Linked DNA regions of Canis lupus familiaris. The protein of the gene in region 1 purifies or fractionates together with the protein of each later gene. This does not show direct contact. Links are inferred from orthologs where the notes say so. Each region holds a gene or a part of one and is shown in the gene's direction. Other genes may lie near its edges.

The links.
Region 2: the proteins of RSU1 (region 1) and ILK purify together in Homo sapiens (affinity purification with mass spectrometry; 9 studies listed by BioGRID and IntAct, counting the BioPlex papers as one, with this or other methods). This does not show direct contact. The link is inferred for Canis lupus familiaris from reciprocal best matches to the Homo sapiens genes RSU1 and ILK.

Annotation. Positions count from the first base shown.
Region 1 is NC_049223.1:19,006,664-19,010,991, forward strand, and holds the start of RSU1 (ras suppressor protein 1), read left to right. Parts: upstream 1-1,526; 5' UTR 1,527-1,685; intron 1,686-1,866; 5' UTR 1,867-1,869; coding exon 1,870-1,978; intron 1,979-4,328. UniProt on the Homo sapiens protein: Potentially plays a role in the Ras signal transduction pathway. Capable of suppressing v-Ras transformation in vitro.
Region 2 is NC_049242.1:30,417,959-30,422,324, forward strand, and holds the start of ILK (integrin-linked protein kinase), read left to right. Parts: upstream 1-1,267; 5' UTR 1,268-1,395; exon of another isoform or gene 1,396-1,523; intron 1,524-1,808; exon of another isoform or gene 1,809-1,814; 5' UTR 1,815-1,860; coding exon 1,861-1,949; intron 1,950-2,147; exon of another isoform or gene 2,148-2,380; coding exon of another isoform or gene 2,381-2,388; intron 2,389-4,366. Other genes in the region: RRP8 (ribosomal RNA-processing protein 8), read right to left, coding at 949-1,047. UniProt on the Homo sapiens protein: Scaffold protein which mediates protein-protein interactions during a range of cellular events including focal adhesion assembly, cell adhesion and cell migration.

The DNA of each region.
Region 1 (4,328 bases):
CTGCCTGTGTCTCTGCCTCTCTCTCTGTCTGTCTCACGAATAAATAAATAAATAAAATCTATTTTAAAAATATAGGAAAAAAAAGAAAAGCCGAAAGTCTATTAAAAAAACCAACAATGAAGATTGTATAAAAAATTCATCATTCAATAGAAAGCAAACTACAATATTGTATAATTATGAGTGTAGTATAAGGAAAGAGAAGTCATTTATCTGTGTGTATTCCCCTTCATGTGACACAGGGGTCCATGTTGGGTGCTGAGAATCCCTGGCTGGGTGCTAGCAATTCCTACCTGGGTGTCAGGAATCCCTTGCTGGGTGCTGGCAATCCATAGCTGGGTACTGGGAATCCAGCTGGGTGCTAGGAATCTTTAGCTGGGTGCTAGGAATCTAGCTGGGTGCTGGCAATCTCTAACTGGGTGCTAGGAATCCCTAGCTGGGTGTTGGCAATCCCCAGCTGGGTGCTAGAAATCCAGCTGGGTGCTAGCAATCGGTTGCTGGGTGCTAGGAATCCTTAGATGGGTGCTAGGAATCTAGCTGGGTGCTGGCAATCTCTAACTGGGTGCTAGGAATCCCTAGCTGGCTGTTGGCAATCCCCAGCTGGGTGCTAGAAATCCAGCTGGGTGCCAGGAATCTAGCTGAGGGGTAGCCATCCCCAGCTAGGTGCTAGGAATCACTAGAACAGTGCTAGCAATCCCTAGCTGGGTGCTGGCAATCCCTAGCTGGGTGCTAGAAATCCATCTGGGTGCTAGGAATCTAGCTGGGTGCTAGCAATCCCCAGCTGGGTGCTGGCAATCCCTAGCTGGGTGCTGGCAATCCAGCTGGGTGCTAGGAATCTAGATGGGTGCTAGCAATCCCCAGCTGGGTGCTGGCAATCCCTAGCTGGGTGCTAGGAATCCCCAGCTGGGTGCTAGGAATCTAGATGGGTGCTAGCAATCCCCTGCTGGGTGCTAGGAACCCCCAGCTGGGTGCTGGCAATCCCTACCTGGGTGCTGGGAATCCAGCTGGGTGCTAGGAATCTAGCTGGGTGCCGGGAACACAGACCACTGTGCCGTTCTTGCATTCGAGCAGCTCATGATACAGCCTAAGGAACGACTGTGGGGAAGGGATCAGAGTACTGACCTCTGAACACTGAACCACAACTAAAGAGACAGGACAACGAGGAGCAACTAACTTCTCGCTTCCCGGGTTCCCAAGTTGAGCGACCACCCTCTCCCCACGGTCCCGCCCCCAGGTTCCCGCTTCCGCCCACAGCTCTCCGCGCTTCGGCGCACAAACTGCGCCTGCGCCGACGCTGGTGCGCGTGCGCCCAGCCCGGTCCTCTCGGAACGACAGCCCCGGGCGCATTCCAGGGGGACGGGCTAACCTCGGGGCGGGACGGGACGGAGCCTCGAGGCCAGGCGGCGGACGTGATTGGCCGGCCGCGGTACACGTTCCTTGTGGGCGGGGCCTCACCCTGGAGCCGCGTCTAGTGAACTGGTCTCCTAATTTGGGAACCGCCAGGCGCGGGCGGGGCGTGGAGCGCAGGGCGGCGGGCTGTGCGCCTGCGCGGAGCTCCGGGACAGGGCGCGGTCCCCGTTCCCGTTCCCGTCCGCGGTCGCTCCGAGCCGGCGCATCTGTTGCTGCTGCAGCGCGCGAGGCGGACGCCTGTGCTTCCCTCGCCCGCCGGGTCGGCGCCGCGCTCCGCGGTGAGTGTGCGGCGTGGCACCCGGGCTCGCCTCCCTGAGCGCCCGGAGCGGTGCGGACGCCCCCCGCCCCCCGCCCCCCGCCCGGGGCCAGCCCGCGCCGAGCCCCCCCAACCCCCGGCCCCCCCCAACCCAACCCCCGCCCCCGGCCGTCGCCCACCTCCTCTGTTGTCGTTTGCTCCAGAACATGTCCAAGTCCCTGAAAAAGTTGGTGGAGGAGAGCCGGGAGAAGAACCAGCCGGAAGTGGACATGAGTGACCGGGGCATCTCCAACATGCTGGACGTCAACGGCCTGTGTAAGTGCGGGGGCCGCGCCCTCCCGGGGCCTGCAGGCTGTGCGCGCTTCCCGGGGAGCCGCCGGCCGCCGGGCTCCACAGCTTCCAGGGCTCTGCACCCCTGCGTGCAACCCTCGCCCGCGGAGAGCTTAGCTCAGAAAGTTTGCAGCCGGGGACCTGGCCCGGCCCGGCTGGAAGACGAGCCTCAGAGCCCGGGGTAGGAGTCACCCAGGCAGTAGCTGGTATTTGAGAAGATTTCCCGCGCAGTTTACTGCACACCCACTCTATTTTAAATCGAAAATCACTTTTGCATCAGGCTTGTTTTCTCCTAATATAGTCACTGACCCTTGAGCAATCGCCACACAGAAGTTCCATGATTAACTCCTCTTATGGCTGCTGGAGTTTGTTAAGCATGTCTCCTCCACTCCTTGCCCTTTCCTGGCTCTTTATTCTTAGTTGAGGCTTTTGTTACCTCCTCGTGCTACTGTGATGTATCCCCTAACTTTTAGCCTCTTGCCTTCAGGTTTGCTGACCCTGTGCTTCAGTCACTGTGTTGCTTTCTAAGGTTATTTTTCTGCAACATATCTTAGCCTGTAACTCACTCCGTTAAGCCAGAGATTGCAAACTCAGATGTCTTTTGGGGCCAGCTGAGGATGGTCATGAACTTCATCGTGGGTATCCCATCTGAAGAGGGGCAGCTGCCGAACCTGCTGCGCACGTGCACACGGTTGTCACCACCTGGGGATGTTGGCCTAGTGTTGCCATAGTTGTTGTTTTCAGGAAGGCAAGAGTTTAGGTTTTTACGTGAAATTTCTTAATTTTTTACACATTGGCAACTAATTCCAGTACTGAAAAGTGCAGGTGAAATAAAACACTTCTTCAGGCCGAGTGTGGCCTCAGTTTGGACCTTCTCCCTTAAACACTTCTGGTTGTTCATTAGCAACAGTGATGCTCCAAGTTCTTTGGCGTGACATGCGGAGCCTTTGTGAATCTGGCCAAAGCCTACCTTAGTTCCTATCTCATCCATGCGTTTGTTCTTCCCGCCATACTGAACGGATTGCCCTTCTTGAACCAGGGCAGTGTCTTTCAGGTCTTTGTGCCTTAGAAGTATTGTTTTCTTCCTCTCTTTTTCCCCCAGATCCTTTTACTTATCTGTCAAGAATCAGCCCAGATGCCATCGCCCGTGTGAAAACTTCTCTTTTCGTGTCAAGCAAATAGTCATCCCCTCCTCTGTGGAGGTGGACATGCCTTGCTTCATGGCTCTGCTTACCCGGGATTGTGATCCGTTCTTAATCCAGATGTCTCTCACCCGCATTGGAGACTGGGGGGGAATGTTGCTGTGCATTACTCATAAATGCCTTCTTGGTAGTGGGCCTGGCATACAGTAGGTGCTCAGAAATGTTGGGTGGATGGAGTTGCTGAGATTCAGACCAGGATGTGACATTGGAGGAGGAGGAGAGATGTTCAGGAGATCCTAAAAGGTGATGCATTGCTTGTTTGGCATGGAGAGAGCAGAGTCAATCAAATTTACTGTGAATCCGTGGTTTGTGCCCAGGACAGATTGGGTTGGGGCTCTTGATGCATCTCTGCAAAAGGAAAGGGGTTAGAAGTCCTAGACAGTTTGCATTCGGTAACCCTTAGGAAGGTTCCTGCCGCGGAGCTTTAGCTTTTGAACCAATTAGCATGTTACCTTCTTGAGATGAGTTGGCCTCTCCCAAGTGGTGATGGCTTCTTGGTGGCAGCAGCAGAGCTGCAGGCTCTGGGGGCTGGGTTGGCAGCCGCCAGCCAGGCTGGATGTGTGCTTGCGCTGCCACTTCTGGCTCTGCCTAGGTCGAGGCGATCATGGGGCGCTCTGCTGTAATGAAGGATGGTGAGCGCAAGCAGGAGGCCTGGCTCCACTGTACTTTTGGCCCCATGGCTGTCTGCTCCTCATCTCTGCAGAGGAACTTCATAGCCTTTGGCTTTGAAGAGAATTCTTTATGTAATATTTATAAGTAAGGATTGTGGCCTGGCTATTTTGGTTCCCTTGCATTATCTCTTTGAAGCCTTGGCTTTTACTGAAGGAGAAAAGATAGCCACTTGCTTCCTGAGAAAGATGTTTCCGGTGTAATAGTAGGTGGTAAAAAGCAAGATCTTTCTTGTGTTCTCCCGGAGAAGTAGCATAAGGAAGAACAAGCCTGCTTCCTGGGTAGTTTGGAGATTGGACCTTCTGCAGCTTCTGTGGTGTGCGTAGACTCAAAGAGTGGCTGCTTTCTGCTGAAATTCCCTCTCTCCTGGACTCCTGGAGCCTGGAAGGTTCCAGGATGCCTTCTGAAGGCCATTCCTCAACTGGGGCTCATTTATTGGTAGTGCACAGAATGCTTACTCTATA
Region 2 (4,366 bases), on another chromosome or scaffold:
CACTTCTTCAATTTGCAAATGAGAACATGGAAGTTCCCCAGAGGAATGTGGTAAGGCCACAAGTAACAGGACCAAGGCCAGAGAACAGAAGTTCCAACCCTCCATCTCAGGCTTTTGCCTCTAGGTGGTATCCTTCTATAAAAGGTAGGGAGGTTTCTGAAAACAAGAGTGACACAATCACAGGTGTGTATTTCACGTGAGTCTAGCTGTAGTGTAGAGAATAAACTGAAAGGGACAGGCTGTGGACCGAGAGACCAGGGGTGTTGATTACAGCAATGGGTTGAGGGGATGATGAAAAGGAATAAAGCAGGCTGATTCCACGCTGGACGCCGACTGAAAGGTAGGAAAAGCCTGCGGAAGTACAGCAGCTTTCACATATGCAAAGGCTTATAGGAGAAGGTCTCCTGTCCAGGAGGCCTTCTGGATTGAAGTCCTGCGGGGTGGCCCCAGCGCAGGCATTTAACCTGGAGGTTTTCAGTCCCCACGCCGCACCACTCCTTGAGAACGGTAGTGCTGGTAATCCTTCATGGTCATTCACTCTTGCTCTCTCCAATCCAGTCTCCACACCGCAACCAATGGCTTTTCCAAAATGCAAATCTTAAGAAATCACTCCCTGCTAAAACCATTTCATTGGCCTTTACCGTTAAAATCTGCAAAACTTCTACTCTGCCTCTCCAACTTCAAGGGCATACCCTCTCAGCTCTCTGTGCTCCAACCGCGCGGACTAGTGTGCGTGTGTCCCGAACAACCCGGACACGCTTCCCTGCCCCAGAGCCTTTGCACGTGCTTTCCCCGTCCAGACAACCGTGTTCACTAACTTCGGCTCAACAGCTCTCACTGAGTGGGATCTCGCGCCGGCCGCAGGCGCCCCGCCGCCCCGACACACTCACCCACACGCGGCGTGACCCAAAGCTCGGATCCACCTGCGTGGGCTTCTCGGCCGCTCACCTTGATCTGCGAGGCTGCGGCGGGCGGAGGCCGTGGAGCTACAGGCCGGAAGCCCGTCCCTGCTGGGGCCTCGTCGGCCCACTCTGGCTCCTCAAACATGCGGGTGGGGTGGGGGAGGCCGCGGGGTCCACACGCCTCTGCACGTGCAGGACGCGTCTCCAGCCCTCGGAGCGCGCGAACCGCCGGAACCGCGCCGGAGACCAAGGAGTGAGAGTCTGCGGGGCTAGAGCGGCCGGAGCGGCGCCGGAAACCATCGAGTTTAGCGCTGCTGGCTAGAAGGGCAAGGGAGGCGGGAGGCGGGAGGCGGGAGGGAGGGACGGGGGGAGGGAGGGAGGGAGGGGGGGAGGAATGGGCCCGCGCTGGCCGCAGAGGGCCAGGGGCGGGGCTGCGCGGCGGGCGCGGCCAGACGGGAGTTCCCCGAAGAAGGCTCCTCCAGCCCGAGTCCCGGTGAGTGCGGGAGCACCCGTTCCCCTCCCCGAGGCCCGACCCCGGCCGGCTCGCCGGCCTCCGCGCGGCCCGAATACCGAGCAGGGAACGAGGGCCCCCCGGGAAGGACCCCCGTCGCCTCTCGCAGGGTACCGGGCGCCCGACTCCCCTCCCCCCAGCTCAGTTCGCGGGCGGGTCCCAGAGCGCGTTCGCCGACACCCCTCCGTCGGGGACTCTACCTCCGAACCACCCCCTACCTCGCGCGGACCCGCCTTCCTCTGGCGCCCAGGGACACAGCCAGGGACCATCCCGCCTCCCTGAACTGCTTCCCAGATCTCCAGGAGCCGGGGAGGAGCGGGAGACCCCCACCCCCTACACGAACACTTCTCTCCGGTAGGGGACAGAGCTCGGGGTTCACCCCCCTGCCTGACTCTCCACAGTCCCCAGGCTTCCCCAGTCTAGGGCGCTCAGCGCCGGGACGCTGCTATGGACGACATTTTCACCCAGTGCCGGGAGGGCAACGCGGTGGCCGTTCGCCTGTGGCTGGACAACACGGAGAACGACCTCAACCAGGGGTGAGCTGACGTGGCTGGTGGGTGAGAAGGGCAGAGACAAGCTCCTCTCCGCAGTGTGGGGTGCTCACGTCGGCTGGGGGCGGCTGGCTTTCCTACCCTGTGCGACCAGTGCAAAGCACAGCCTGTGGGGGGCAGAGGGTTTCCACAGAGGAAGCTGTGTTTCTGCTGAATTTTGACCGCTCAACAAGAGTTTTTCAGGCGCAGGGTGCAGAGAGCTTTCCAACCTCAGTGAACTGCATCGGCAAAATATAGGAGGCAAGACAGTGAGCAGAGAATCTGGAAATTGTCCACCGGTCCATATGCCCGGAGGATAGAAGACTTCTGTGAGCTTCTATGGATTGAAGCTTTGGGTACAAGTGGTAAACCACCGAAGATAAGACTGGAGGGGTCGGCTGCAAGGGTCAGCCAGATCATGCAAGGATATTTACACTATGATAAGGTCATTAACGTTAAGAGCAAGGGTTTAAAGCCCCTCTGTGATATGATGAGATTGTCCACTTAAGTGTCCTCTTGGATACCTTTTAAAGAGCAGGTGGCCATGTGGAGAGGCAATTGCTAAGTCTGTCCCAGGAGCGGTGATGCCTTAGACTAGAATGGGGGCAGATGAAAAACAAGTGCTTGGATTCCTGAAATCTTTAGTGTAAATAATTGATAAGACTTGGTGTGGGGAGTGAGGAAGGTCAAAGATGATGACCAGGGTTCTGGCTCAGACACTTGGGTAGATAGTTGCTTTTACTGAGTTGGACAAGGCTGAAGGATGATGAGTGCTGCTGTGACATGGTAAAGTAACTGTACAGCAGAGTGGAAATGTTGAGTAGGTTGTTGGTTATGCAGATTTGCAGTTCAGGAGAAATCTGACTTGGAGACACAGATTTGGGAGATGTTAGCATATAGATGATACCTGAAGACATGGGTGTGAAGGAGAGGGAATGAGAACTCTGCAAGGCTAACTAAAAAGGTGCCATTGGAGGTTGCAGAAGAAACAGGAAAATGTTAGTAAAGCTCAGAGAAGTGAGTGTTTCAATGAAGGGGGAGTGGTCAACAGTAGTTTAGGCTGTTGAGAAGTCAAAAAACTTGAGCACTTTAAAGTAACTGTTGAATTTACAATAATGAGTATTTGATGATCTTTGCGAAGGCTGCCTTAGAGGAAAATGGATGAAGAAATCAAACAACACTGGGTTCCTTCTTTAAAGTGCTGGTTAAACACCTCCCATGCTAGAGGCCCAGACATACTGCCAGCCCTCAAGGCAGCAAGCAGCCTGGTGGCAAGTTGAATGGGAGGTGAGGAAATAGAGAGTGAACGTAGACAAGTTCTTCAAGGTTGGCTGAGACAAGGAGGCTTTTGGAAAAGCAGTAGTGATGTTGATGATTCAGGATGGTGGGTTTTCAGGGTTTTTTATTTTAAAATTTTATTCAGTTTTTAGGTTTGAGGAGTAAGGATCACCTGTCATCTTCATCCAGCTTTCCCAGGTTCTCAGTAGGCTCTATGCTATTCCTCATAATTCTTGGTCACTTTTCCATTTTTCATATTTTTACATAATTTCCATAATTCTTTCATAATTCTTCAAAGGGTGCTTAGATGAAGACTGAGCACTCTTACTATTTTGTTGGTAGGGTCATAAAGGTTTATGTGAAGTTGCCCAGGGGCACTTGATGCATTGTATAAAACCCTGGTGCCAAAGGGTGAATGGGTGGCATCACTGAAACTGGAAGGCTTTGGTGCTGGTTTGCGGGGATAGGCTTTGGGGGCCCAAGCACCCTATATTGCAGGATATTAAGTGTGGTGAACTCCCTGCAGGGCTTTCAGGATTATAGTCTGTGGTCCTGAGGTGACAGGCAGCCGAACAGCAGAAACCTTGTGCTCATACTTTTGCCCTCAGGCTCTGGCCAGTCCTGCCACACAAACTTCAGGCTGATAAACCAGGGCACAAATTAGAGCTGGGAGGCAAAACTCACTGATTAAGTAGGGGAGGATAGTTGCTTCAGAGAGGGGGAGGTGGGGATAATCCACCTCTGGGAAAGCTTTTGACTATCTCTAAAGTGAACAGATGAGGGCAGCTGTGGAGGAAAGTCATTAAAGGCCACGCCCCCCACTCTCATCCCCCGGGAGAGGGGGACATCTGGGTGGCCTGCAAGTGGCCAGACCCCTAATCTGCTTTAGGCCATGCCTTGAGCCCCCACAAGGGAAGTGACCGCAGCACTAAGGCATCCGGAGGCAGCCATCTCAGACCACGGACCACCCCCTGCCCCGCCCCTTACATCTTCACACACACCAGGCCAGAGGGAATTTCCTTTTATGGCCCCAGGCTGTCAGGCCCTGATCCCACCAAGTGTTTTTCTCTTTTTTCTTTTTTTTGTACAGTTCTTTTACTTTAAAAAATACATGTCCTTGGGGGGGGGGAAAAGTCAGATACTTT